Linked DNA regions of Tamandua tetradactyla. The main gene of each other region encodes a partner of the protein of the gene in region 4 in a complex. Links are inferred from orthologs where the notes say so. Each region holds a gene or a part of one and is shown on either strand. Other genes may lie near its edges.

The links.
Region 1: the proteins of CALCRL (region 4) and RAMP1 are in contact, whole or in part, in a cryo-EM structure (PDB 6E3Y), measured with the Homo sapiens proteins. The link is inferred for Tamandua tetradactyla from reciprocal best matches to the Homo sapiens genes CALCRL and RAMP1. Residues at the interface, in NP_001258680.1 of Homo sapiens: Asn39, Met42, Thr43, Gln45, Tyr46, Glu47, Tyr49, Gln50, Lys51, Ile52, Met53, Gln54, Thr68, Trp69, Asp70, Gly71, Arg113, Arg119, Thr120, Phe228, Leu231, Ile235, Thr239, Val243, Ala244, Gln250, Trp254, Tyr255, Leu258, Phe262; in NP_005846.1 of Homo sapiens: Trp59, Ile63, Tyr66, Arg67, Ala70, Phe83, Trp84, Pro85, Asp90, Phe93, Leu94, His97, Gly98, Phe101, Arg102, Cys104, Pro105, Ile106, Ser107, Gly108, Arg109, Ala110, Val111, Arg112, Asp113, Pro114, Ile118, Leu119, Phe122, Ile123.
Region 2: the proteins of CALCRL (region 4) and ADM are in contact, whole or in part, in a cryo-EM structure (PDB 6UUS), measured with the Homo sapiens proteins. The link is inferred for Tamandua tetradactyla from reciprocal best matches to the Homo sapiens genes CALCRL and ADM. Residues at the interface, in NP_001258680.1 of Homo sapiens: Val36, Thr37, Asp70, Gly71, Trp72, Asp90, Tyr91, Phe92, Gln93, Asp94, Phe95, Asp96, Pro97, His114, Ser117, Thr120, Trp121, Thr122, Tyr124, Thr125, Asn128, Val135, Ala138, Leu139, Leu141, Phe142, Thr145, Thr191, Leu195, Ala199; in NP_001115.1 of Homo sapiens: Cys110, Arg111, Phe112, Gly113, Thr114, Cys115, Thr116, Val117, Gln118, Lys119, Leu120, Ala121, His122, Gln123, Ile124, Tyr125, Gln126, Phe127, Thr128, Asp129, Lys130, Asp131, Lys132, Asp133, Asn134, Ala136, Pro137, Lys140, Ser142, Pro143.
Region 3: the proteins of CALCRL (region 4) and RAMP2 are in contact, whole or in part, in a crystal structure (PDB 3AQF), measured with the Homo sapiens proteins. The link is inferred for Tamandua tetradactyla from reciprocal best matches to the Homo sapiens genes CALCRL and RAMP2. Residues at the interface, in NP_001258680.1 of Homo sapiens: Arg38, Asn39, Ile41, Met42, Thr43, Gln45, Tyr46, Glu47, Tyr49, Gln50, Lys51, Ile52, Met53, Gln54, Trp69, Asp70, Gly71, Arg119; in NP_005845.2 of Homo sapiens: Trp86, Ile89, Tyr93, Ser94, Arg97, Leu109, Gly110, Pro112, Glu117, Ile120, Phe121, His124, Gln125, Phe128, Ala129, Cys131, Ser132, Leu133, Val134.

The regions. Positions count from the first base shown.
Region 1 is NC_135329.1:215,246,915-215,254,651, reverse strand, and holds the start of RAMP1 (receptor activity-modifying protein 1), read left to right. Parts: upstream 1-4,731; 5' UTR 4,732-4,777; coding exon 4,778-4,829; intron 4,830-7,737. UniProt on the Homo sapiens protein: Accessory protein that interacts with and modulates the function of G-protein coupled receptors including calcitonin gene-related peptide type 1 receptor (CALCRL) and calcitonin receptor (CALCR). Required for the transport of CALCRL to the plasma membrane.
Region 2 is NC_135334.1:85,045,981-85,052,905, forward strand, and holds ADM (pro-adrenomedullin), read left to right. Parts: upstream 1-4,093; 5' UTR 4,094-4,257; intron 4,258-4,683; 5' UTR 4,684-4,704; coding exon 4,705-4,802; intron 4,803-4,978; coding exon 4,979-5,128; intron 5,129-5,321; coding exon 5,322-5,613; 3' UTR 5,614-6,425; downstream 6,426-6,925. UniProt on the Homo sapiens protein: Adrenomedullin/ADM and proadrenomedullin N-20 terminal peptide/PAMP are peptide hormones that act as potent hypotensive and vasodilatator agents. Numerous actions have been reported most related to the physiologic control of fluid and electrolyte homeostasis.
Region 3 is NC_135332.1:24,492,307-24,499,217, reverse strand, and holds RAMP2 (receptor activity-modifying protein 2), read left to right. Parts: upstream 1-3,893; 5' UTR 3,894-4,870; coding exon 4,871-4,967; intron 4,968-5,415; coding exon 5,416-5,481; intron 5,482-5,964; coding exon 5,965-6,076; intron 6,077-6,203; coding exon 6,204-6,459; 3' UTR 6,460-6,640; downstream 6,641-6,911. UniProt on the Homo sapiens protein: Accessory protein that interacts with and modulates the function of G-protein coupled receptors including calcitonin gene-related peptide type 1 receptor (CALCRL) and calcitonin receptor (CALCR). Required for the transport of CALCRL to the plasma membrane.
Region 4 is NC_135329.1:160,930,832-160,938,334, forward strand, and holds the start of CALCRL (calcitonin gene-related peptide type 1 receptor), read right to left. Parts: upstream 3,015-7,503; 5' UTR 2,600-3,014; intron 1-2,599. UniProt on the Homo sapiens protein: G protein-coupled receptor which specificity is determined by its interaction with receptor-activity-modifying proteins (RAMPs). Together with RAMP1, form the receptor complex for calcitonin-gene-related peptides CALCA/CGRP1 and CALCB/CGRP2.

The DNA.
Region 1 (7,737 bases), about 54 Mb from region 4:
AGTTAATATCATCCTCAATGGGGAAAAATTGAAAACTTTCCCCCTAAGATCAGGAACAAGACAAGGATGTCCACTATCACCACTATTATTCAACATTGTGTTGGAAGTTCTAGCCAGAGCAATTAGACTAGAAAAAGAAATACAAGGCATCAAAATTGGAAAGGAAGAAGTAAAACTATCACTGTTTGCAGACGATATGATACTATACATCGAAAACCCGGAAAAATCCACAACAAAACTACTAGAGCTAATAAATGAGTACAGCAAAGTAGCAGGTTACAAGATCAACATTCAAAAATCTGTAGCATTTCTATACACTAGTAATGAACAAGCTGAGGGGGAAATCAAGAAACGAATCCCATTTACAATTGCAACTAAAAGAATAAAATACCTAGGAATAAATTTAACTAAAGAGACAAAAAACCTATATAAAGAAAACTACAAAAAACTGCTAAAAGAAATCACAGAAGACCTAAGTAGATGGAAGGGCATACCGTGTTCATGGATTGGAAGACTAAATATAGTTAAGATGTCAATCCTACCTAAATTGATCCACAGATTCAATGCAATACCAATCAAAATCCCAACAACTTATATTTCAGAAATAGAAAAACCAATAAGCAAATTTATCTGGAAGGGCAGGGTGCCCCGAATTGTTAAAAACATCTTGAGGAAAAAAAACGAAGCTGGAGGTCTCACGCTGCCTGACTTTAAGGCATATTATGAAGCCACAGTGGTCAAAACAGCATGGTATTGGCATAAAGATAGATATATCGACCAATGGAATCGAATAGAGTGCTCAGATATAGACCCTCTCATCTATGGACATTTGATCTTTGATAAGGCAGTTAAGCCAACTCACCTGGGACAGAACAGTCTCTTCAATAAATGGTGCCTAGAGAACTGGATATCCATATGTGAAAGAATGAAGGAAGACCCATATCTCACACCTTATACAAAAGTTAACTCAAAATGGATCAAAGATCTAAACATTAGGTCTAAGACCATAAAACAGTTAGAGGAAAATGTAGGGAGATATCTTATGAAACTTACAATTGGAGGCGGTTTTATGGACCTTAAACCTAAAGCAAGAGCACTGAAGAAGGAAATAAATAAATGGGAGCGCCTCAAAATTAAACACTTTTGTGCATCAAAGAACTTCATCAAGAAAGTAGAAAGACAGCCTACACAATGGGAGACAATATTTGGAAATGACATATCAGATAAAGGTCTAGTATCCAGAATTTATAAAGAGATTGTCCAACTCAACAACAAAAAGACAGCCAACCCCATTACAAAATGGGAAAAAGACTTGAACAGACACCTACCAGAAGAGGAAATACAAATGGCCAAAAGGCACATGAAGAGATGCTCAATGTCCCTGGCCATTAGAGAAATGCAAATCAAAACCACAATGAGATATCATCTCACACCCACCAGAATGGCCTTTATCAACAAAACAGAAAATGACAAGTGCTGGAGAGGATGCAGAGAAAGAGGTACACCTATCCACTGTTGGTGGGAATGTCAAATGGTGCAACCACTGTGGAAGGCAGTTTGGCGGTTCCTCAAAAAGCTGAATATAGAATTGCCATACGACCCAGCAATCCCATTGCTGGGTATCTACTCAAAGGACTTAAGGGCAAAGACACAAACGGACATTTGCACACCAATGTTTTTAGCAGTGTTGTTTACAATTGCAAAGAGATGGAGACAGCCTAAATGTCCATCAACAGCGGAATGGCTAAACAAACTGTGGTATATACATACGATGGAATATTATGCAGCTTTAAGACAGAATAAACTTATGAAGCATGTAATAACATGGATGGACCTAGAGAACATTATGCTGAGTGAGTCCAGACAAAAACTAAAGGACAAATACTGTATGGTCCCACTGATGTGAACGGACATTCGAGAATAAACTTGGAATATGTCATTGGTAACAGAGTCCAGCAGGAGTTAGAAACAGGGTAAGATAATGGGTAATTGGAGCTGAAGGGATACAGACTGTGTAACAGGACTAGATACAAAAACTCAAAAATGGACAGCACAATAATACCTAATTGTAAAGTAATCATGTTAAAACACTGAATGAAGCTGCATCTGAGCTATAGGGTTTTTTTTGTTTGTTTGTTTGTTTTTACTATTATTATTACTTTTATTTCTTTTCTCTATATTAACATTCTATATCTTTTTCTGTTGTGTTGCTAGTTCTTCTAAACCGATGCAAATGTACTAAGAAACAATGATCATGCATCTATGTGATGATGTTAAGAATTACTGATTGCATATGTAGAATGGTATGATTTCTAAATGTTGGGTTAATTTCTTTTTTTCCGTTAATTAATAAAAAATTTAAAAAAGAGGAAACATTTTGGAAAATGACAGCGATTCAGAGAGAACAGAGCAGAGCAATATAGCCGCAAGAGGCAGAGTCTGCCAGCCAGCAACCTTTGGAGAGGAAGAAGGAACACACCTCCCGGGCAGCTTCATGAAACAGAAAGCCAGGAGAAGAAGCTAGCAGATGATGCCGGGCTCACCATGTGCCCTTCCAGATGAGAGAGGAACCCTGACCAACATACTTACCATGTGCCTTTCCAGATGAGAGAGGAACCCTGACTGTGTTCATCATGTGCCTTTCCAGATGAGATAGAAACTCTGACTGTTTGCCATGTGCCTTCTCACTTCAGAAAGAAACCCTGAACTTCATCGGCCTTCTTGAGCAAAGGTATCTTTCCCTGGATGCCTTAGATAGGACATTTCTATAGACTTGCTTTAATTGAGGCATTTTCTCAGCCTTAGAACTCTAAACTACCAATTTATTAAATTCCCCTTTTTAAAAGCCATTCCATTTCTGGTATATTGCTCTGGTATTTCTGGAAAGATTAGCTCAGAGTGATTGAATCCAAGACCCATCCCAGCACAACTATTAGATTTCAAAGGTGTTCTAGTTTGATGGCTGCTGGTGAGCAATGCAGTCCTGCCTCTCATTGGTAAAGCCAATGGTGCCCTCCAGCAAATTTGGGGCTGATGTGAGCACCAGTATACAGGAACCATGTGGAGTTATGGGCACGGAGGACCTCCTCCTCTCCTGCCTTCTCCCAGACTGCCTTCAAGGACTGCTGGGGGCTGCCTTTTCTCCTGTCTTCCTTTATCCTCCCCTTGACGTGCAGGAGAGGCAGGGGCCCTCTGTGCCCATCGCGCCACATGGTCCCTGTATACTGGTGCTCATGTCAGGCCCACATTTGCTGGGGGTCACCACTAGCTTCACCAATGAGAGGCAGGGCTGCAGTGCTCACCTGGCAGCCTTGCACGCAGCAGGCACTCCCAGGTCTGTCCAATGAAAGAGGTGGGGGTCAGGAAGTGAGGCTAATCAAGACAGTGTGTGCCCTCCCCTGCCATCTGCCTACCCTCCTCTCCCAGGGCCTTTGGGACTCCCAGGTTGGAAGTGTGTGGACCTTGGTGCCCTTCTGCTTGCTGGTATCCAAGAGTGGAGATGTGGCACCTCTTCTCTGAGTTTACAGCAGGTGCCTGCAACCTCAGCCTCAGACCCTGCTGTCTTGCCCTCAGCCTAAAGACAATTCAGTTTACCCCTCCAGTACTGACCTGATGAATGGGTGGGCTCATTGTGTTGAGTGCATGAAGCTTCAGGAAAAAGGCATTGCCGCCACAAAGCCTTCCCCTCGGGCTGTGGTTTGTCCCCTAGCAGGAGTATGAATTTACTCTGTTGCCGAAATGGAACCAGCCCAAGGAGGAGTCCTGCCACCATGATGGCTCTGAAAGCCCTACCTAGCCACCCCAGGCTGATGCTTCCTGGGTCAGACCTATTCCCCCCCAGGTTTCCCTTCCCCACAAGCACTCACATGCCCACAGAGAGCTCTTTTCTGACCATTTCATGCAAACTCCTACACCCAGTCTTTGCCACTCCTGCCTCCCCATCAGCCCACACAGAAGCCAGAATGCAGCTCCCAGGGCAAATCTTAACCCTATTTTTCTACTCGAAAGCTCCTCCATGCCTCCAAGCTCAAGATCAGGCTTCTGACAAGGCCCTCACAGCCTCCTGCTGGGCTCCCAGCCCCTCTCCAACCATCCTGAACAGGAAGCCCACCCTGGCCACCTTACAGGTCCTTCAAGAACCCTTTCCTACCAGTCCCCAAGCCCTCTGTGACTGCGGTGCCCTTCTCTCCATCTTCACGGTTCCTCCTTTAGGTCTCTGCATGTATTCAGTTTGTCTCTGTGAGTGTTTGCCCTGAGGTTACTATGGATCTGCCCCCATAGAGAAGGAACGGTGGTCCTGGGTTTTTGCAGAGCTGACCCTGGGGCAGGCGTGGCCAGAACCGAGGCAGGGGGTATGGTGCTCGGGGGAGCAGAGTGCCTCCCACTCGGAGTTGTCTAGGAGACCCACCCTACTTGTGAAAGTGCTCACTTGTCCAGGGAACATTTCAGGCGCGCCCGCGCCCTGGGGAGCAGCGCCGTGCCTCGGGAAGGGGACGCGCTGGTTTCGCCAGGTCGCGGCGCGCTCACGGTGGGCTCGGGCCGCCGGAGACGGGAGGAAAGCCTGTAGCCGCTTCTCCCCGCGCCCGGGCTGGGCAGGTGGTTGGACTCGGCCCGGCGTCCCGCTGGCCCCGGGCCCGCCCCGCCCCCCGCGGACCGCAGTGGGCCGGCCCGCCCCCGCCCCCGTCCCCGCCCCCGTCCCCGCCGCGCCTTCCAGCCGGCGCGGCGCTCGGTCCCCGGCGCGCAGCGGGCGCACTCGGCTTGCTCGGTTCCTGGCGCCATGGCCCCGGGCCTGCGCGGCCTCCCGCGGCGGGGCCTCTGGCTGCTCTTGGGTGAGTAGAGACGCGGCGGCCCGGCCTGACTTCCCGAGGACGCGCGGACCCGCTGCTCCGGAGCGGGCGGCCAGCCTCTTTGCACGGAGTCTCCGGGCGAGAAGGTCGAGCGTCTCAGTGTCCGGGCAAGGGATGCCGCCCACGGGGAAGAGGGGCAGCTTTGGGGGTGTCGGGGAGCCAGGGCGTGCCGAAAGACACCGGGCAGCTTTCCCCCGCACCCCGGGGAACTTGTCCGGCAGGATGACAGGAGCGCGCGGGCTTCCCCTTGCGTCCCTCACCCCGCGTCTCCTTTGGCTCCGAGCGGCTTCCCTGAACCCCTTAACGAGATCAGAAAGGTGCTCCTGGCGGAAGTGTTGGGGAGTCAGAACCGCAGCCCGTCTGCCTGGCTGCTGTACGGAACCTGACTGTTCCAGGCAGCAGTCGCTGCTCTGCGGATGAGCCTTCTGGGGTCCCCTCCCTTCCGCACGGCTCCCTGCTCGGGGACGCTTCCACAGCCTTTCTTTTTCCTTTTTAACTTGGCACTTCTGGCTGATGGCAATTGAGAAAGGGACTCTTGATAAGGTGGCAGAACGTGCTTGCCCTTCTGATTTGAGAGATTCTAAATGGAAACCCCAATGCCACCACGCTTAGCAAGACTTCACCAGAAATGTCTTCTTCACTATCCTGCCTCTAGTGTTTTTACACAATGCTGAGCCGAAAAGCCCTATAAACTGCTTCAACTATTAGACTGTCTCACTGTTTCGCCATCCTTTAATGGAAATGGAGGGGGTCACTTAGGTGAGAACCCGGTGCCCTGGGACGCGGCTACCATGCGTACCCGTGACTCTCCCAGGACAGGTGCCCTTGGCCCGAAGCCCCTGCTGCACACGTCCCTGGTCCTGACAAAGGGCTGGCCAGCGTCGTTTTGAGCCTTGGAAGCAGCTTGTGTCTGTGGAGTGTTGGTTCAGGCACCACAAGGAGGGTGCAGCCACTCACATCTGGTTAAATATGATATAATCCGAAATTGGCTGAAGTTACATGAAAAGCAAAATCTTGTGATAGAATTATCTTCCTCTGTTGTGCATGACTCTGGCTCCACGTGAAGCTGTTTCCATTTCTTAAGAAACTTACTGTCAGCATGGAGAGAGTGAGGGTGCGTGATGTTTCTTCACAAACAAATCGAGATTTGTTACTGGCATCCAGAGGCTGTCCCCTCTGAAGCTCGTGCACACAAGACCCAAAGTCATGACCACGTATAAAAAAGACCTTGTTTACCGAGGAAACGACTTTGGTTCTGGGGAAAGGCCAGAATCCCTGAAATCTTAGCATTATTCTGAGTGGTCTGGCTAGCATCTCTCTTGGCAGAACAAACACCGCTTTATGAGGTTATCACTAAATTAATGTCATTGGAGACCAGCAATTATTAAAAGAATGACCGAGCAGGCGCTGTCCTCTTCCTTCCCGAGTGGCGGCACGGCCAGGCCTGCTCAGCGATGGAGATGAGCCACCAGGAAGGCCGCGTGAACTGCTTTCTTTAAAAGCGTGCTGGTGCATAAGCTGAAGAACTTGTCTGTGGCTGTTTCGAGCTGTTTGTCTTCTGCGGTCAGCTCGCATTTTCGTTTTTAAGATCTCGGGTTATCTGCGTTTTCTGTTAACTTCATGTGTCTTGTGCAGTTTCCTGGTTCTTAGAAGCCCCTGAGCCCTGCACCTGAAAGTTTTGCATCCGTGGGAAAAGAAGGCAGTTTGCAGATGATAACGCGTAGGATGGTCCTGCTTGCAATGACCCCCTCCTCAGAGTGGGGGTGGGGGTGGGGGGGCACATCCTTCTCTCCTGGTCCTTGAATCTGGAGGCACTTTTAACCCCAAGGTCCAAATTTGAAGGGTTTTTATCTGCTAATCAACAAATTAGCAATTTTGTTGCTTGTGTGCCCTCTCTGAGTATTTCACTGCAGGGAGAAATTTCTGGATTTTTCTGTTCCATAGGCCAGTCAGGTGGGGTCTGGGCTAGGGGTTTTAAAAAATGTTTATATCCCAACTAGAAGGGGATCAAGCGACACATGAAGGAAATGCTGTAGGTGGATTTCTTGCTTAAGGCAAATAGTTAATTGGGAAAGTCCATTTCTCCTGATTTCCCCCCCCCATCCCCACCCCCATCATTGAGTCCAGTTTCACAGCTCCTCCTGTTAAATTGGCGCCTGGGTAAATGAGTTGCTCAGGTGCCCTATGGTGTGATGTGGGTTCCAGTTAAATGCTGACTGGGAGCCCTGTTGACTGGCTGTCAGCCCCATCCCCCCCTCCCGTAGGCACACAGCCCGCCTCCCTGAGGGTCCTGGGGGGGTACTCCCCTCTCAGCAGGCCCTGACTCAGGCCTGGAGGACGTGCCCCAGGCTGGCCGTGGGCTTTCTGTGGAGCCATCAGGGTGGGGCTGGGGAGTGGGTGTCTCTGGCCTCTAGGCTGGATCCCCTCTGTGGGCTCCAGCTTCCATCCTGGGAGCCACTGAGGGACGCCTATCTGTGACATGGAGAGCAATAGACGGGGCTGCGTTTGAGCCCTGCCTGAGCCCGCAGGGTACGGCCCCTGCAGCCTGGGGTGCGTGTTTGGGGAAGGCCTGAGGGTATTGCAGCCAGGAGGGCCAAGCAGAAGTGGAGATGGGGAGGGGGCCTGGGCTGAGGCAGCCCGTGGCTCTGCCCTGAGCTGCACTGTGGCCAGCCCCTCACACTGTCCCAGCAGGACTCGCCTGCCCCACCCACCACACCCCTGGGGCCCTGCCTGCCCACTCTCACCCCAGCACCCACCCCATGGGGTCTCTCCAGAGATGCCCTTGTCACCAGCCCTCTATCCAGGACCAGGTTAGCCTCTCCAGAAGACCTGGGAGGGGTTGTGTCAACACAGCAGCGGAGGGCACCCCGGACTGGCCTTATCCGTTTTG
Region 2 (6,925 bases), on a different chromosome or scaffold from region 4:
AGAAATACATACAATTACCACCTTCTCTGTGTTTTATTTCACTGTCCTGCAGCAACTTACCTTATTTAACTCTCAAAGAGGTTTGTCTTCTGGCTTTATCACATACAAGGACCGTTCTGAACAAGAACAGACTGTTTCTATCTGTTTTGTGCAGGAGCATAAAAATGAAGCAGCATGAGCATTCATTTTCTTCATACTGATGCTTTGCAAAATACTATGCCCTAAAGAGAGAGGTTGAAGAGAGAGACATTGATTAACTGTCTTCCCTGCCTCACCTCTCCGAGCTAGTTAAAAATTAAAGATAAACTGCTTTTATTCTGTGTCAGAACTCTTGACCCCTTGAAACTGTTTACCTATTTTATACTTAAATTGGTTTATTTATATGTGCATTTTCCTGGAAAGGATCTATATTTTTATTAGTTCCTTAGAATAGTCAAAGATCCCTCCAGAAATGTCTCCAAGCCTTGTACTCTGCTTTACTTTTCCCTGTGAGTGACCAAATTTGCAAGACTGATTGTGTCCTTTCTCTAAACCACTTTGTGTTATCATCTGGGATACTTCTTGAATCTTGTTTTCATAGAACTTTATTTAAAAATCCTCAGATTACCAGAGGCAATTTTAACTATATGAATAATAAATGCATCATAAAATTTCCTGCTTGATAAAAGAAACATCTGCGATAATACACAATGCACTTATCTACTCACTTTTTATTCTTATTAATATCAATATGATTTATGATTTATTTCTTCTCATCACTTTTCTGAATGACCTGTGGGTGGTCACACTGGTTTAGGGACTGTGCGCGTTGTGTTAGCTAAAATACACCACAATTTTTTTTCAACCCCAAACATTACTAAGGATAAAGCTTCAATTTACTGCTAAAAATAATTCAACTGGAATGTGAAAAAGAAATTGAGTCACTATCATGGAACAAGCTTTTGGCATATTTAGGCTTATGTGTGTATATACAATGCCAAGATAAATACACTTATTATAGTGCCTTGGGGGGTTATTTAGGATCTGGCCTCTTAAAATTCTTGGGTGCAAAAAAAAAGTGGCTCTTCATTGACCAGGATTCCTTTTCTTTTTTCCTGCCAGCGACATTTTAAAGATGTTTCTTCCTTCATTTCCTTCCTTCCTTCCTCCTACTGTCCATGCTCAATGTAAGTTTACAATCATTGCAATTTGGATGGGTGAAACTCCATGTTAAGTCACTAAGAGTAGAACACCCGCTGCAGTGTTTCCTTCTAGACCTGACCTATTGAACCAAAAACACATTCTAGTGATTTGTTCAGTCTTTAATAAGCGAGTACGAGATTCCACGGGCGGGGGTGGAAATAGATCTCAAGATTTGGCAAATTCTTTTATTATTGTTATTATTGTTATTATTTTACTTAAACCCCAGTCACTTTGGGGATCATTCTCGCCCCTGCCACGCGCACACTCATACTGTGAAGTTAAGGGTGTTTGGCAAAATCCACTCAGCTGCCAAACCAGGAAGTATTTACAGAGAAAATTGACAGAGTTCTCAAACATGAGATCTCAGCTTGAGTTAGTTCTCAGGTTATCAGCACCTGGGCTGATAAGGCGCGTGCCAAGACCGCTCTAAGGTGGGAATTTTGGCATTGCTGCACCACCGCTGGCGTAGGCACTGGAGCTGAGCATAGCAGAGCTGAGTCTCTCCTCCTGGGTTCACTTTGCTTGTTGAAACCGCACGCTGCTCAAAGCGAAGTTATCGCCCAAAGCGCGCGCTTCTGCAACCTTAGCGGAGAGCTCGGGTTTCTCTCGCGGAATCCGGAGCTTTCCTGAAGGACTCATAGAAGAATCACCAAAGTGCAGACGCGGAGTCCTCTGTAGACAGAACCCACCTCCACCCCCACCCAGGGCTGGTGGGGACTGGAAGGAAAGAGTCCAGACCACGGGACTATCCTTGGCTGTGGGGCGGCCCCCATTCGTCCTTGACTTCCCAGTCTGCTGGTGGCACACGTTGGGGAAATGAAAGTAAAACCTGTCCTGGAGCGGACCCAGCTGGAAGCTGGCGACAAGTAAGTCGCAACCTCCTACACACTGCCAACCCATCCTGGACAGGGTCGGGGCAAAGAACTTGACTCGCAGGGGAGGAAGTGAAAAGAGGTGGTTAATGGAGGATGAGCGAAAAACAGAATGGTTAGCTGGGTAGGTTCCTTAAAACAGAGGAGTCGTTCGGTAATACCTGCTGTCTGCGGTGCAGACAGACCTGCTGAATGACCATGTCTGCTGTGGTGAACGCCCTGAGGCGAGCCAGCCCGCCCGAGCCCTGCCAGCTTGCTGCGTTGCGCCTCTCTGACACTCGACGCCCGGACCCCTTACAGGAGCCACCGCCAGGAACCTGCCCCCCAACACCTCAGAGCTGGAACTCTGGTCCGCTCAGATGACTTCGCACGGGGAACAGTCCTCCGAAAAAATAGCCTCGGTGTTGACATTCCTTTCCCAGGTGCAATGTCCACGGTTCAGTCCTGAGAGCGAAAAGGCGCCTGAGCCAGCAGCGAGCGGCCCAGACCACACTGTGGGCAAGGTCAGTGCAGCCGAACGCCCAGTCGCCCTTGCAATGGGTCTCAGGACCAGTATGGTTGAACTGGTAGGAAGCTTAGAGAGCTGCTGCGGGCGCGTTATAGACGGGGAAACTGGAAAGGAGGAGTGACTTGTCCCAGTTCCCAGAGCGAATTGCCATCGGATGAGAGCTAGAAACCAGTCCGCAGAATCCCAGTGGTCTCGCGTCCTCAGTCTCTCAGTCTAGGTACTGGGCTTCAGGACTTGCGGCTGAAGTGGATGATAGGACACCAGAGAAACGCCTGCAAGAAGTAGGGAGTCCTGCGGGCTGAACCTTCCCGTCCCAGTTTGGCCCCCAAGTAAGAATAAGCAAGTGAAGTTAGGAAGCAGCTATGGAAGAGCACAGGTGACAAACGTGTTTGGGGTGATTCATCATGAACAGGCACAAATCCTTGGGCGGGCGCTGGAATTCTCCTCTTCCCCCTGAAAAGGTGGTGACCCCAGCTCTAAAGAATCCACACCACGCCCCAGTATACCCTGCTTGCTTGGGGCCGAATTAGAGCTTCACTTACTAGCTTTAGTGTGACTTTGGGCAAGATACCTCACCTCTCTGAACTTCAATTTTCTACTTGATTAAATGGGAAAAGCAATGTTACCTTCCTCGCCCAACCCAAGGGCTAGTATGAGGATGAACGATCAGGATGTGGCCTTGCACTGTAAATTGTCAAGCGATTAACATAGGTGAAGCATTAGTGTGTTCCCTGGCAGTCAGTCAGTCCTCACGTTCACAATGGGTGAATGAAGGATCCGAGGGCAGCCAGACTAACTCTCAGGTTGTAACCTTATAAGGCATATTTGGATTACGAGGGAAAAAATGAAATGGTATCTTTCTTCCTAATTTTGGTTATTCCTTTATTTCCAAATAGCCACGTAAATTCTGAAATTTCAGATAGCTTCCCCCTCCAAATTCCAATTCTCATATCAGACTTTTCGGAGACTTGCCCTTATTGCGAAATTTTATCAGCAGGCCCCGGAACCCTCTACTCCCGGGGTCTCGGCCGTTCTCTGTAGCTGGCCAGCCCAATTTACCTTGGCTCAGCTTGGTGCCCTGCCCCTGAGGCTCCTGGCGAGTCTGGGGGCGCGGCCAGGTAGGCACCGAGACAGCAGGGGGCGCAATCCACCCGAGGCCAAAGCTCCCCAGATCCCGGCTCTGGCCCCCCGCTTGGTGTCCCCTTCCCGGCAGGGTCATGCAGTCCCATGCTAGGAGCCCTTAGGACTCTAGACTGCATAGGTCCTTAGGACCCAAGAGGTTGTAGTGGCCCTACTTGACCGGCCTTGAGATTTGAACTCTGTCCAGAGAGTCAGGGCTATGATAGTTTCTGCACCAATATCCTGGAGTCCTTCTCTGAACCCTTCGCGCACGAAAGACCCCCAAACCCTACACCCACTGGCAAGCAATGCGCGCGCCCGAATGTAGGCGCGCGCGCGCGCGCGGAAAAAAAGGGAGGGCGCAAGGGCAGTCCAGGCCCCGCCCCCACGCTCTTATAAAGCGGAGGAATCAGAGGCGCCCACTCAGTGGTTTCTTGGTGACACCAGCAGAGCTGCTCGATCCTTGCCACTTCTTGCTTCTCACCGCGGCCTGACATAGACACTGAGGTTTGCCACAGCCAGAGCGACATCTAGGACTTTCTCTTCGCAGTACTTGGCAGATCACCCGCTGAGCAGGTAAGCACCGCAGGCCCTGTGGTTAAGAGGAGGCGGGGGGCGGGGCGGATACCCTTATGGAGGCCGGAGACTGGTGGCTCTAGGTGAGAGGTACAACTCATTTGGAGGGTCCTCTGGACCCAGCTCGTGCACACAGCTGGAGCTCCAGCGACCCTGACCGCTCTGGTCATCTAAGTCCCGGAAAGTTGAGCAGGGAAACTCTGGGAGCTTGGCGCTGTGCAGCAGCCTCCCCCATGGGGCTTGTCACCCGCCTGGCGGGTGCAAACGCCACTGGCGCCTCTTTGCGCCCGGGGGAGATAAGCGTCTGAGTTCCGCGCAACGCGGGCTGAGCCCGCCAGCGCCCGAGCTGCCGCCAGTCCTCCGTGCCCCACCCGGGCGATGCGGCTGGCTCCCGCGCTCACGCTCCGCACTATTTTTTCTCTCCAGGTTCTGCGTATCGCCGCTGTGATGAAGCTGGTTCCCGTCGCCCTAATGTACTTGGGCTCGTTAGTCTTCCTAGGCGCGGATACAGCACCGCTTGACGTGGCGTCGGAGTTCCGAAAGAAGTGAGTATGGGCAGTGCCTTCTTTAGTCCTCTTACCTGACAGACAAGGGAAACTCGTCGCTGGACCCGAGGGACCAGGGACCAGCCCTTGGGGTCAGGCGCACCATCCCGCGCCGGCTGGGTATGGGCCGGGACGTGGCTCGGACGCACGCGAATCGGGTCTCTTGTCTTTTCTAGATGGAATAAGTGGGCTCTAAGTCGTGGGAAGCGGGAACTGCTGGTGTCCAGCAATTACCCCACCGGGCTCGCTGACGTGAAGACCGGGTCTACCCAAACTTTTATTCGGACTCAGGACGTGAAGGGCCCCTCTCGCACTCTGCAGGACAGGTAACCACACCAGGTGCCGCCGAGGGAGTGGATGTGGGGGACCTGGCCCAGAGGATACTCGGGGCTAGGTGGAAACTCAGACAGCAGGAGCGGTTTCCAGCTGTCTCGGGTCCCAGAATGGCTCCTATACCTCCTGGCTCCGGTCAAAGCCCTGTTCGATGGAGTCTCACATTGTCCTTCTTTCCCTCCCCAGCAGCCCGGATGCCACCCGCGTCCGAGTCAAGCGCTACCGCCAGAGCATGAATAACATCCAGAGCCTGCGGAGTTTTGGTTGCCGCTTCGGGACGTGTACTGTGCAGAAACTAGCGCACCAAATCTACCAATTCACAGACAAGGACAAAGACGGCGTCGCCCCCAGGAACAAGATCAGCCCCCAGGGCTACGGCCGCCGGCGCCGGCGCTCCTCGCCGGAATCCGACCCGGCCCGGACTCTGCTGTCTCCTGAGCCAGTGGCACACGGGTCCTCGGTCTCCCAGGCGCACTAAGCGCTCGGCGACCTGCTCAGGATTTAAGCGCCTGTGGCCGCCGAGAACAGACGCGCAAGCACCGCTCTGGCGCCTCCCCAGGCGGAGGGCTTCTGCGAACCAAGGCCCTCGGCCGGATCCGGACCGGTCTGAGCAGAAGCCTTGCAAATAACCGGAGTCGGGTAGGGACCATCAGACGGCTAGCCCTGGCTTTGCAGGGGCCCCTCCTTCTCCGGGGTAGAGCTGTCTTCGCCCTAATCGGGCCCGAATGCCCCGGGGTGGGGTGGGGTGGGGGTGGGGGTGTCAAAGGAATCCGAGAGAGTGTCTCCCTGGTTCACCGAGAGGAGAAACTGAGACTTAAATGTTGAGACCCCCGGGGCAAGGGTCTGAGCCACTGCCGTATCCGCCCACAAACCCATTTTTCACGGAATGTCAGCCCACCGAGGTGCAAGCCTCACTACTACTTGAACTTTCCAAAATCTAGAGGAAAAGTGCAATGCGTGTTGTATATACAGAAGTAATTATCAATATTTAAGTTTGTTGCTGTCTTTTTTTTCTTGGTAACTTCAAATATAGAGATATTTTTGTACGTTATATATTGTATTAAGGGCATTTTAAAGCAATTATATTGCCTCCCTCCCTCCTTATTTTAATACGTGAATGTCTCGGCGAGGTGTAACATTGTTGTTTGCTGCGTGGAATATGTGAGACTGTGTGTGTGAAAGAGAGACTGATTACCTGCTGTAGAAGAAGGAAACACCGTGTATAATCTATTTGTATAAAATGGGTAGGGATATGCGAAACAGCAAACTAATAAACTGTTTCAATGATGATGATGTGTTTTCGGCTCACATGTCTCGGGATGGAGGGTGCCCCTCATTTTGGCAGGCCAGGGAGCCGTGAAGCCCTAGCTGGCTTCGGAAGATGGGACAACGGCTAGGCCAGTGTGCTGGCCCTTCTCCGGGGACGATATGGCGCGGTCAGAGCTGTCACGAGTCCGGCTCTCCCTGTGCAGCGCGCGGAACGCGTGTACTGGGCGCGATTCAGGGCTTGGCGGAGACGCTCGAGGTCACCGCTTCGCGTGGCGGCCGGGCCGGGCGGGGTAGGGTGCGCTCTAGTGGGGAAGAGAGCCTGGCCTCTCCGGGTTGCGCAACAGAGTCCCAAATTTATGGATTTGCTTACCCAACCCAGTGTGAAAATGCGCCTAGGTGAGATGGGGTGGTCTCCGAGACCTACTAAAGGAGGGGTTTCCCCGTGCTGCCGTGGATGTTAAAATTAGAAACTATTCCAGCAAAATGTCTGGATATCTCCCTGCAAACCGCAGCTGGACCTG
Region 3 (6,911 bases), on a different chromosome or scaffold from region 4:
GCTGAACATCATCAGTCTTCTTGAACCAAGGTATCTTTGCCTGGATGCCTTAGGTTGGACATTTCTATAGACTTGTTTTGATTCGGACAATTTCACAGTCTTAGAACTGTAAACTAGCAACTTATTAAATCCCCCTTTTAAAAGCCATTCCGTTTCTGGTATATTGCATTCTGGCAGCTAGCAAACTAGAACACTTAGTATTGAGCAGTCCTGGATTCAAATCCTGACTCTGACAATGATAAGCTCTGGGACCTTGGGCAAAGCATTTAAACTCTCTGATCCTGTTTCCCCATTTTACTCATGAACAGGATAGTTCTGATCCTATGGGGTAGGGCTTTAAGAAATGCATACAAAGCACCTGGCACATGTGTCAGAGAACACACTATGAAGACATAGTTAGGTGAGCATTCAATAAATGGCAGTTACTATTCAGTCCCCAGCGGTTGACGAGGAATACATTTTCTCTGCTTCTTTCTAACTCAGGGACAAATTTTTGTTTAATAACAATTCTCTTTAGGAGGTAATCAAGTTCATCTCATTCTGTAGCTGAGGAACCTGGGGAGAGATTGAGTAGTTGTGTCTCTACCCCTTTGCTTTCCCTCCTTTAGCCAGCTGCCTCCCTGGCTTGCAGCTTCTCAGGTCCTCCCTGCTTCCTTTGATCCCTCTGAAGAATCAGACTCTTCTCAGGAGGGACTTCTAGCTTCTCTGACCCTCTCCCTCACATCTTCTCTGGCGCTCTACTCTTCATTTTGCAGACAGTTTGGACAGAGGCCAGCATGTGTGAATGTCTCTACATGGTAAAGATGCTACTTTCAGGGTGCATATAATTTGCATGGTGTAGGGGGCCCCCAGTGCCTTTTACTCTCTTCTATGTTGTTCTGGATTTAGTGGTTGCATCACCTCTCCCCTGCTCCAGGCAGGAAAGCCCTTGGCAGATAATAAGAAGGGAATTTTTTTACATGTCAGTAAATTCCAGAAGGAATCAATCTAGGTTGGGTCCGGAAATCGCTAGACAATGACCAGCTGGACCGGAATCTGATCCTTTTCTTCCCAGGCACTGGCGGGGAGGAGGGGGGCAGATAGAAGAAAAAATATCTGCCCACTGGATATTAGAAAAAAGAGACTAAAAACAATATTATGCTATGTTAAAAGGAAAGAGGCACATTTATGTATAGTAACATGGAAAGATATGCAAGACCTATTAAGTTTAAAAGTCATTGACAAATAGGTACATTAAATCCCATTTATGTTGTTTTTAATCTAAAATATGTGGGGAGGTAAGTGAGACAGGGTGGAGTTATAGTTTTCTATGTTATGTAAATATTTTACAATTAGTACATACTTATATTTTACCTGTAATGAAAAAAAATTTTTTTATAGCGAAAGCAGAAGTGGGCTAAAAGAGAAGTTAAAGGCCCCCAAGGATGGCTGGAAAGAGGGGGCTTTCCATGATAAAAACAGCCTCAGACCCTGAAAAATCCCTTCCCTGTCTCATATCTGTAGATCATGTGACTATCTCCTATGGCAACTTGGAACAGGAAGGTAAAGTCTCCAGTCTCCTGTTAAGCACTAAGGGGCCCCTATAGCAGACCCTCAGTTACCAAGATGTCCAGCAGTCAATGAAAATATCCACCAGATATTAAATAGGGAAAGGGGGAAAATCAGTAGATTCTCCAATGGGAGGATCTGGACTTCTAAGTTCAGGAATGGTTACATAAGCTCTTCTTTGTAGGTCATTACATTACCATACAAACTTAAACCCAACCCTAAGTTAAACATAACACTTCCTACTGAGTCATCTACATTTCCCTTTTTATTCTACGGCAATTTTATATGTGAAAATGTTGAGGTCCAGAGATATAAAGTGACCTGTCCAAGGTTACACAGTAAGACAGGGGCAGAACCTGGCCTCAGAATCCTAACCATTTTAGGATATTTTAGCCCATTATACCATATTGCCCTATTTCAAACCCAGCATTTGCTTTTGACAACTTCAGTCTTGTCCCGTCCTTAGTCCTAACCCATAGTGGGCTCAGGGGCTTCTGGACCCAGCCCAGTGAAAAAGTCTGGATTTGCTTTCTGTCCCTTGTTGTGCCCTCCTCCCATCTTATAACCCAGGAATCTCCCTCTCAACCATAGCTTCTTCTTGAAAAGGGTACTCGCGGATATTCTGAGAGAAAAGATAGCATTTGGTGTCCAGTCGAAAGTGGCTCTGAAAGAAAGGTGACTCTTCTGCATCACTGCAGGAGATGACCCTTAAAGGTTAACACCAAGCAGGCCACTTCCCCTCTCCCTCTGGAAGCTTTGCTAAATTCACCTCCTGACCCCAGCCGTGGAGGAGGACAACAGGTTGTCAATAGCCACGATTTGAGAGCCTGAGACCCTGAAATAAAGATTTTAAGAGCAAGAGACCATGAAAATTTGCACACCAATGTTTATAGCAGCATTATTTACAATTGCAAAGAGATGGAAACAGCCAAAATCTCCATCAACAGAAGAGTGGCTAAACAAACTGTGGTATATACATACGATGGAATATTATGCAGCTTTAAGACAAGATAAACTTATGAACCATGTAATAACATGGATGGACCTAGAGAATATTATGCTGAGTGAATCCAGCCAAAAACTAAAGGACAAATACTGTATGGTCCCACTGATGTGAACAGACATTCGAGAATAAACTTGAAATATGTCATTGGTAACAGAGTTCAGCAGGAGTTAGAAACAGGGTAAGACAATGGGTAATTGAAGCTGAAGGGATACAGACTGTGCAACAGGACTAGATACAAAAACTCAAAAATGGACAGCACAATAATACCTAATTGTAAAGTAATCATGTTAAAACACTGAATGAAGCTGCATCTGAGCTATAGGTTTTTGTTTTGTTTTGTTTTGTTTTGATTTTACTATTATTACTTTTATTTTTTTCTCTATATTAACATTCTATATCTTTTTCGGTTATGTTGCTAGTTCTTCTAAACCAATGCAAATGTACTAAGAAATGATGATCATGCATCTATGTGATGATGTTAAGAATTAATGATTGCATGTGTAGAATGGTATGATCTCTAAATGTTGGGTTAATTTCTTTTTTTCCGTTAATTAAAAAAAAAAAAAGAGAGAAGGGATAATTGGAGATGAAGGGATACAGACTGTACAACGGGACTGGATATAAAAACTCAGAAATGGACAGCACAATACTACCCAATTGTAATGCAATTATGTTAAAACACTGAATGAAGCTGCATGTGAGGTATAGGTTTTTTGTTTTTGTTTTTTTTGTTTTTTTTTCTTTCTATTATTGTTTTAATTCTTATTCTCTTGTCTTTTTATTTCTCTTTCTAAATCGATGCAAATGTACTAAGAAATGATGAATATGCAACTATGTGATGTTATTAAGAATTACTGATTGTACATGTAGATTGGAATGATTTCTAATTGTTTTGTTAATTCTTTTTTTAATTAATAAAAAAAAAAAAAAAAAAAGAGAGACCATGAAAAATAATTTGTGGTGGGCAAGAATCACTCAACTGGGAAAACAGCAGCTGCTGAGTCCAAGGGTCAGTGTCTGGGAATAATTTAGCAAAGTTCAGTGCTGACAGCTGTGTCTGAGTTGAACGTCATGGCCGTCCCAGCTCCTGGGCTCCTTGGCTGCTTTAGGCTAATGAAGCTCTGGCCCAGGACCCAGAGGCAGCTGTGGTTTAGCTGGGCCCTATGGCCCCAGGATCAACCTTTTTACCTCCTAGCAGCGTGACCTTGGGCAAGTCACTTAGGAAAGGATAAAAGGAAATTAGCATCCGCTGAGTACAATGTCCTTTTGCATATTTCATATTCACTAGTTTGGTGAGGAGGGTAATGCTGTCCCTGTTTTACATGGGAGGGATCTGAGTGTGTGAAGGTCAACAAGTCAAGGCTATACAGCTGGGGACCGCGATGGTAGGGATTAGAATCTAGACCTTCTGACAAGTCCTGTGCCCTTGCTCTGGGCTTCAGCCTCTTTCTCTGTAAAATGGGGATTATGATATATCCATCTCAAAAATGAAGTTGCAAGTTGTAGGTTCTAACAGCCACCCCACTTCTTTCTCATGGCCTTGACCTTTAGGGTGGTAGCTACCTTCTTCCTGGGAATGCAGTCATCTTACTTTTGCCCCTCCCTCCCCAACAGTTTGTGGATCTAGGGCTCAGGCGGTGCCTTGAAGGGAAGGCATTTGGACTTTGGTTTCCCCTCTTTCTTCTACCTCTTCTCCAGACTCTGAGGGCTAGCTCACTCTTTTCCGCCCTAGCTTTGGCAGGCAGGGCCAACAGCAGTGGGTGTTCCCAGGGAAAAGGAACTCTGAGCTGCAGGGCCCAGCTCCAGGCGCCCCTTCTCCCACGGCCCAAGACAGCCTCAACTCCCTGCCTTGGATCCTGCGGGGTCCAGCCTTCCAGCCCCCCTTTCCCGCTTCTTTAGGTCCCGGAGAGCAGCTTTCCCACTCCCACCTCAGCTACAGTGCCCCCCAGAAAAGGGGGCGACTGGAATCAGGGACGCAGATGCAGTGAGACCACGGAGAGTACTGGGCGCCATTCGGCCGAGCCCAGGAAACAGATCCCGGTTCTGGGGTTTCGAGGGGAGCTGTCCAGCCCCGCAGGGTGAGCTGGAAGAAAGGCAGGCCCGCGCCGCCAAGGCGGAGGGAGCAGCAGGCGTCAGCGGCCGGCGGCAGCCGCGACTCCCCCTCAAGCTCGCCCCCCGCCCCCTACGTGGCTGCAGCCGTCCCAGCCCCTCCGAGGAAACGGAGCGGCTTCCTGCACTTCGGCAGGGGATATAGGCGGCCCCACCCGGGCCGGCTCAGTGCCGCCGCCACTCGCCACTTCGCCTCCCAGCAGCGCGATGACCTCGCTCCGGGCGGAGCGCACCGGCGTCCCGCGCTGCGCTGCGATCCGCGCCGGGCTGCCGAGAACGCTCCGCCTCCTACTCCTGCTGAGCGGTGAGCGCAGCGCCCCGGGGCCAGGGCGGGAGATGCGGGGGGCCCGGGAACCGTGCGGGGATGGACGGCCGAGGCTGCGGTGCAGATGCTGAGACACGTACGGACGAGCGCTGTCCTTCGGGATTCCCTGGCCCCAACTTGGTGCGGCGCCGCGCGAGCTGCTTCCAACTTGGGGAAAGCTCAAGTGCCCAGGGCCCAGCTGGGACGTCTTGGGAGGTCTGGGACTGACGAGGGCGGAGAGGGCTCTGGCGACTTGGATGTGAGTGGTACCAGCCCCTCCCTTCCTGGGCATTGAGGATTATGGTTTTTTTTTGGGGGGGGGGGGCTGTATTATTTCTTTTCTCTTCCAAGGGTAGTCCTGACCTCTAAGGGGCTCGGACCCAAATTCTTCAGGCTCCGCTGTCCAGGTCCCCGCCATCCCACCTCCCTTTCCTATATCTGCCTACAGTTGTTGTGAAGCCCCAGGAGTCCCTGGCTCAGCCTCTTCCCACCTCAGGCATCTTGAATTCAGAGGGTGAGTACCAGCTACTACGGGAGGATGCAGGGCAAGGAGGGGAGCCAGATCAACAGGAAGGCTCTCTTTCCCTCCTGGCAGGCCTCAACCTCAAGTGGTACCCCACTAAACCCTCCTCTTTTCTCTCTTGTGATTCCTTGAGGTGTTTTCCCCTCTTATTCCACAATGCCCCTGCCCGGCTCTGAGGTGGCCCACCTTACAGGTGGGTGAGAAGACCCCATGAAAATAGGTGTGCTTCAGCTCTTGTTAGATTGGGAAATATGGTACACATGGAAGGCATTAAATTCCTGGGCCTGGACTGTCTCCTTAGCTAAAAGTGTCATGCTTGGGAAACTTCTCAGGCATTCCTGCGGGTCCCTGTGTTTGAAGAGAGGAACAGGATTCTGAAGAGAGGAACAGGATTCTTTGCTGGAAGTATCTGGGACAGACGGTTTGGGAGGAGGGGCAGGGATGGGATCAATGTGGAGTATCTTCCCTCCACAGGGAAGACAGTGGAGGAGGAATATGAGACAAATGTCCGACAGTGCTGGCAGCATTATAAGGCTTATATGGACTCTATTCAAAAGGATTGGTGTGACTGGGCCATGATTAGCAGGTAGGGGCAGTGCTGGCCGGTGGCTTGGGCCTGGGTGGGGCTGCTCCTTACAGCTGTACCTTGAATGAGTGTGGGGCAGTCCTCTCTCTGGGCCCAACCCCTCACTCAAATCCTCTCCCATCCCCAGGCCTTACAGCAGTCTGCGAGATTGCTTGGAGCTGAATGCTGAAGAGTTTGGCCTGGGCTTCCCCAATCCCTGGGCCGAGAGGATCATCTTTGACACTCACCAGATTCACTTTGCCAACTGCTCCCTGGTGCAGTCCACCTTCTCTGACCCCCCAGAGGATGTGCTCCTGGCCATGATAATAGCCCCCATCTGCCTCATCCCCTTCCTGGTCACCCTTGTGGTATGGCGGAGTAAAGACAGTGAGGCCCAGGCCTAGGGGGCACAAGCTTCTCAGGGGCCATCTTCCCCCTCCCCCCTACTCCCACAAAAATCTCTCTCCTCCCTTCTCTACCCTCTTCTCTCACTCCTACCCCTACTGCAGGTCCTTGGATTGGTGGAAACCAAGCTGGTGGGGTTACACAGCTTTGTAATCTTTAAAATAAACTTTTTTTTTTTTTTACAGTGTTGCTTTCTCCATCCCAATGAGGCCTGTGTCCTTCCCAGACTCTCTGCCACTCCCACAGGCCCTCAGCTCTGGGCAGCAGACTCTGGATGGCCACTTCCCCTCACTGTCCCTCCCCCACCTGAAAACCACACCCCTGCACTTCTTCCTCCCAGGCCAGGCCTTTCCTGCCCCTTTCCAAACTCTGCTCCAGGAAACATGCAGGAAGAGACTCCCTTCCGGTCTGGACAACAGATGGGGGCCAGCAGTTGGGGTGATGTGGGGGG
Region 4 (7,503 bases):
AGTTTTATTTGGAGAATACATATTTTGACCCCTTAAAATTTGTTTTGTTAATTTTCCTAATAAGGTCAAGGGGACCCTTAAAAATTCAGTTACCAACAAATTTTAATGATATAGAGAGCAAAGTGATAGCAAAATATTGTTATAATGGTTGCACATATGATCTTAATTAGAATATTATGAATATCTTAAATATGTGATAATGTGATTGATATTCAGCTCATTTTTATGTATTTATCAAAGAGCTTTCCCACTTTATCAAAAGCTTATATGATATTTTTGTCTTAATATTTTGAATTTGTTGTTGAAATTAATTGCTGGTATTCATGAAAATAATGCCATAACATACACAGGCAAATGTAAAGGTTCTTATAAATATACCACGGTGTTGACTCCATTTAAACCTCATCAAATTTAGGAAGCATCAGGGAGTAAAGCACATACATCTGGACCATTCATTTAAAACAATTTTTAAAATTGCAGATCTAGCTCTTATTTCTGTTTACTTTTGTTATTCCTAGTTTTTCAAAAAGAATAAATACTTTGATTATTTTAAAAATGTATATATTTTAACCTAATAAGGTATATTTGGGCATGTGCTAACTAACATATATTAAGAAAAAAAGAGAGGCTGCATCAATTTAAGATAATTGAATATTTTGGGTAAAACACATTTCAGCTCACACTGTTCATGTGATATCTCAATTCTGTTTAATTATAGATACTAAGTATTGGTTGTTGATTTAGTGCCTTGATTTTATGATGCTATAGGGAAATATCATCTATAAAAGTAAGTTCATTTTTTATGACTAAACGCACAGATATTCTGATATTCTCTTATAATTAAAGGAGACAAATTTAGAATATAATAATACCAAATTTTTACTTCAAAAGTCCAGTTATTTACTCAAATTATATGTCTTTGCCTAATGACCCTCATTGCCTAGTGTTTCTCAGTGGTATTTTTGGAAAATCAGGATTTAAAACCATATTATTAGTACAGTTCTGAATATTTAATTATGTAATCATGGAGTCTTTTGGCTAGCAATTAAATAAAAATTAGAGAAGTGGTAGGAGTTCCTTATTATAAAATATATTAACTTGATATAACATATAATTCTAAAAAATAATCTAAATTAAGATAAAATTATTTTTAATTTGTTCCAAAACCATGGCATTGCTTTAGGCATTTAAACACGTTCTTTCCATTTCCCCTCCCAGATATCTAATGGCTACTTACAAATCTCATTCTAAAATCCCTTTTCCCATTTCCACACATATTGAGGGAACATAATATAATTAAAGATTGAAATGAAATAGGAAATCAGCCGCAATATTTTTAAAGTATCTCAAGTGTAAGGCTATTTTAAGTTTCCATTATATTGTATTTCCAGCGGAAAATTACTAAGGACTTACTCAGGATGATTTTCTAGCCAAGTGTTGCTGCGCCAGATTATGGGTAAGTAAATATAGGATGCTCCCATTGAAGGATGTTGCGCACAGTATAATTTCATTTAGGTAAGAAAATAAATTAATTATAAATTGTGTCAGTCATTTTAATTTGAACCCAAATCTGACAAATTTGCAACAGATTTGTGATATCTCTATACCAACAACTAATTTAGTAAACACGACTTTCTTAAATTGTTCAGGACAGTCTGTACTGTTGGAAGGAGCATTACAGATGCTTTATCTCAACATTTTGGTGAGTTTTGTTGTGGGAATTCTTTTTTATATATACTTTAATTTCTTTGTGGAATGTTCTGATACACTCATTTGCGACACCTCTGTTATGTTTCTCTAGCCCTACATATCTTGATATCACACTCTTCCCCCAAGAACTTTCAAAAGAAGACCAACAGGTTGAAGAAACACCAACTATTAGCTAAAGAAATTAAGATTGATATATATTACTGTCTGTACATTTTTTTTCAACCTTAGCTCTAGTTTTCCTTTGAAGCCCACCCCAAGACCCAAAACAAAAGAAACAATTCAGGGTTAGCAAAAGAGAGCCATAATCACATCTGACCACAATGAACAATGAAAATTCCATTAATTCAGTAGTTAGAGATACATGTGTACATAGAGTCAAAAGACAAATAGAAGGCAAATATAATGAATCCACCAGTGATTACTTTCAACTATCCCTTATATTCAGTCACACAGTGAGTGATATTCCCAGACCCCAAATAGTTATTCTTTTATCCTTTTCTTAGAATATCAATTCTATGGAAAGAAAAAAATTCTTCAATGTTTTCCAGCTGTTAGAAGAAAGCTTAGCAAATAATAGGGCTAATTTAAAAAGGCATTGCTCCCTGATAAAGATATTTGTTCAGAAGTATACCTTTTGATCCATTTTAGATTTTAAGTATTGCTGAATTTATTTTCTTGAATACCACTGTAAATTATAGTAGCTAGTAGCAATAGATTTTATATGCCTTTTTGGGCAAATATGCTATAGTTTTCCTAACATGCAAAATAGATGAGACTATGTTTCAACATAATTTCAATATCACTAACTAAATTTTGTTGTAGAAACATAGTTAAACTACATGGGAATACTATTCAGAATAAGCATATCTATTTTGAATAACATACTTACCCACACACAGCTCTTAAGGAAATTCTTGATGTAATATTCTTAGGATGAAATTTGAGTTTCTGAGATTCCACAGAAGTGATTTACCCCCAGTCAAGGTGGGGAAAAGTGAAAGCCTTGCAATGGGATCCTGCAGGCAGAATGAGATCCAGTTAGCAGAGCTTGATGATCTTAAACCAGGAGGTGACACTCTCTGCTGGAGAGAGGAGGGTTGTTCTGAGTAGACTGGAAATGTTGCAGATTGTTAAATGATCAGCAGCAGAAGGGAAACATCAGAGCTTCCTGTTACATCACTCTGACCCCGCCTGCAGTTAGTGTTAGGTTACTTTCTTTCTCAAATAGCACACCCAGGAAAGCAGTACTCTTTCTTATTCTGACAGAAGAGCAAGAAGCAGCCTGAACAGACACAGATCATATGCTGTATGAATGCATTGTTACTAGCAAAGGCGGGCTGTGTTTCAGTTTTACTCAGTTCTGTTAGAACTTGCCAACCAGAGTTGCCCGTGATTTGAAGGAAATCTGAATATAATATTCTTCTCAAATAATCAAAGGAGTTAGGTGTGTGCCTGTGTGAATCACAGTTTACAAAACAGCCGGGACAAAATTTGGTCTAACATTCTTCGCTTCATAAGTGAGCAAGAAAACATAATAACTGCATTCATCATAATTAATTCCATAATCTGCTTCTTATTAAATTGGAACTCTGATAATTAGATGCTGTTCCTTGATCGCTTTTCCTCAATTAGATCAAGAAATTTTATCCTGTAGGTTTTTTTTTACTTTGTTCATGAAATAACTATGCATGTGTGTACATGTATATATGCATACATATAGCATTATTTTTCATATTTAAGCATATATATTCGAGAAAGCAGACGTTTGAGAACATACACATAATTTAAAAATCATTGCACATATTTTAAATGGAGATTGATTTAATTATGTTACCACCTATAAAATGAAAAATAATTTATACTGTAGGTTTGAAGAAAATGCAGCCGTTTAATAACCATAATATTATGGAAAAAATGTAAACCATATAACAAACTTTTGGTCTGATTTTTTAAAAAAATGTTACCTCAAAAATAAAAATTTATTCTGACTGTGTTTAATAAATCACCCACAAGCTCCAGAAAAGGAAGTTGTAAATTTGAAATACATTTTTCATCTTTGACAGTATGGTAAATGTGTGAGGTACAATACTTAAAATTCCTGAAACCTAAGTATCACAGAAATCACTTAATTTCCTTGAGCTTCAATTTTCTTGTCTGTAAAATAGAAGATATGGATCAAAGATATCTGAAAATCCCTTATTATCTCTAGACTCCGAATCAACCAATTCTGTAACATCTAGAAATGGATGAGACATTGTGATCATTCAATTCTTAGCAAATTTGAGTCCAGAGGCTCTGAGTAAAGGCAAGTTATGGCATTAATCAGCAAAAATAGCTATGGGAGGGCAAGGCAACATAAATTAAAGTGATAGTATGTTTCTGAAGCAGCACACTCCTGTGATATGGAAGAAGATGATTATATAATCTTTGATTTTAATGGCGGCTAATCTCCATTGATTATAGTTTAGAGGAAAGACTTGTAAGAAATTGAGTTACACCAAATTGTTTTTTTGGGAAATAGAAAACAACTAGACAATTTAAATTGTCAAGTTATAGAATATTGCATTTTCTAGATAAGGGTCTGGTTCTGATTTCCTTTGGGGAACTGCTTATCTGAACTTCATTTTGAGCTGCTTCCTTCAGCCCTTGAGAAGAGAAGTCAGTGTTGCACGCTGTGACTTGCTCTACACACAATGACCATTTAATCAGAAAACCAACGTGGTTATTTTCAGCCGAAGCTGTGGAGGTAACTCAGTCTGGGAATGAGTGAGAAAAAAGTACAAAGCATGGGGATTGTAAATTCCAGCCCTGGAACTGAAACTTAACTTGGTATGACCATTGCCAAAAACACTCTCTAGTTCTTGTTATCTTCATTTTAAAATTCACAACAGAAGTGAATACTAGATTTTAATATCTGCATGATCAGGATCCTTGTATTTTTCTCATTTCCCATGCTTGGCATAATTTATGACCCCTAGAAAGAAATCAATGTGCATTGTTTGAATTGTATTAAATTATGAAAAGCTAAAATTTTTCCATATAAGCCTGTGAGTCCCCTAAAATTTTTGTTCTACCAAAGATTTATCAATTTTATTTGTACAACTGTAGTATATGTTGGTACATGGAAAAATCCCTGCTTAGCACTATAAGTCTTAAGATATTTAATCCAGTGATTTTTCTCCTCTACCACACATCAGGTACTGTACTAAAATGGGAAGGCTAGTATTGGCTATAGTATTCATACTTATTGGGCAGGCATCTGGGCCTAAGGTGTTAGTTCATGATGACTCTTGGATAATTTTTATTAGCATCATATATGTCTTATTTAGAAATAATATGCAAATTACCCTCCATTAATCACATATTTAAGAGCTGCCATTTTATCAGCGCCACCTCCTAAAAATATAACTTTAATGATATAATGATTTTGAAGGGGGGAATGAAAAGACAAGTAATGCAAACCCCTTAAAGACACACTAAAACATGACAAAATCTCTTTGGAAAACTACAGTAAAACAAAAATGAAAATATTTCAAAAATCAGTGGGGTGAGATTCAAGGTAGTTCAGTGTTAGAATTCTCACCTGCCATTTGGGAGACCTGGGTTCAGATACCGGCCCATGCACTCCCCACCTCTCCCCCCCCAAAACGAAAATTCAACAAATGATGGTGCAATAATGAGGTAGTCACATGGAAAAAGAATGACGTGACCCCCACCATAAAGCATACCAAAAAAAAAAAAAAAATCAGTGGTTTGATTCTAAGCCAGTGTGGCATTAATTAATTAGTTCAGCCTTGCTATATGCATGCTCTCTATATGCATGTACTTATATTATAATCCTTGTTCCGGAACAGATTAAAACCACTCTCAGTCATTTAATAAGTAACGATAAAGTCTTACTTTGAGCTTGGTACTATAATAATTGTGTTGAGGAGTGAAGGAAGAATAGGATAAGTCCTGCTCTATAGTTGCTTCCATCATAGATCGCCTAGCACATGAAGGATCAAGTGCCAGATTTTCTCTAATTAGCAACTGATGCTGCCAGCAGAGTGTGGAGTAAGCCATGCAGAGCACTGTCAAAAGGTGTTTTTGCAGAAGGGTCAAATAATATACAGGTGAAATTTGATACATATAACTGAATAGTTACATTTATTCCTTTAAGAACCCTCATTCAGCAGCTGATGTATTAACCTAGAGATAGATTTGTGGCCCCAAGTAAGTCTCAAAATTACACTAGTCTCCCAATAATGAGTTGTGATTATTATGTGAACTGCACTTTGAATCATGCTCAGGGGGAAGCTAATGCAAAGTCTCTGGGTTACTATTTGGTTTGATCTAGTTAATCAAATTAGACCCAAAATGTGGTTTGACAAATTTAGTCTCAACAGGCTGAACTGACCACTTATTTTTAATTCATTTGGATACTGACTTGGAAAACTGCCTTGAAGCAGAATTCTGCCACAAAAGCAAACCAAAGCAAAACAAAACACTTTTACATGATGCATAATGGATCGAACCTCTTTGGTGAGAGTACAAGAATAGCGGGGTCCAATAAGCTCTTTGAAAACAATATATTAATTTTTAAGGTATTATTACCTTATTACCTTTGTTTTGGTAATATCTGACAGTTATTATTTACACCTGGAGATAAATTACACAGTCAAAAATTATATATACTCTTCCTAATTAAAATATGCAACAATAATGTAAGGAGAAACAAATAATCAGTAAAATCTTCATTTTAAAATAAAAATTCTTCCAACAAGGCACTCGATCTGACTGTTTATTATTTTACCTACCAATTACTGCTAGCATTTTTCAAGCTATTTCTCAAAGCAAAGCAAAATAAATTACATTTAGTAAAAGGGCCTGGATCCATGACAGTCATTGAGAGTGAAGATGTTATTTTCCAAAAAGTTATTCCATCTATCATTACAACTAATGGGCTAATTTTTCACTCCAATTGCATGCATATCTTAAGTTATCATCTTGAGGGAAACATAATGTTATTTTAAAAAATTGCTATAATAAGGGTTTTAAAAGAGCGGAAAATTGTTTAAATTTGAAATAAGTAGACATTGAATGAGGTCCACATATAGGTAACTAAGACTGATTTACTAGTTTATATATGCTACCTTTCTTAGTATTTAATAATGTGTTTGACTAAGAAAGTCAGACAATATATCAAAAACAATTGGCTAAATGCCTATTGCAACTGACTTTTACTAAGTTCTGATGGATTTGGATCTACAAAGGAACTCAGTATTATCTTACCCTGAAAAATAGGGGAGTTGATTGCTTGAATAAGAGCTGGTACTGACAAATGAGATATGCCATGATCTAATTAAAATGGATTGTTATATACCACAAATTATAAATGTATATTTAAATAAAGGTGTGACATGTTCCTCCTGAGAGTGAACTTCCTCCAGTGTAGTGTGGGTGAATATGATAAGGTGATGATCATATGTCCAGTTACCTACGGCAATCCCCATTCACACTTTTACTCTCAAAAGTGACCAGGTTTGAACCATAAATTTTATATGATCACCCTTACCATACTTACCCATACTACACCAACAAATGGGACATAAATCCTGCGGGTGAGTCATTCAGTAATTCATTTGGGCAACTATATCTCTTTCCCAAGAAAGTTCTAAATAGTTGTTCATAATTCTAAGGTAGTTTTAGTTGTCATATAAAAAGGTAGTTTCAGTTGGCATTCTATAAGAATTGATTGTGAATTATTCTGAAATGCTTCTACTGGTGCATATTAATGTTGATTTTTAAAAT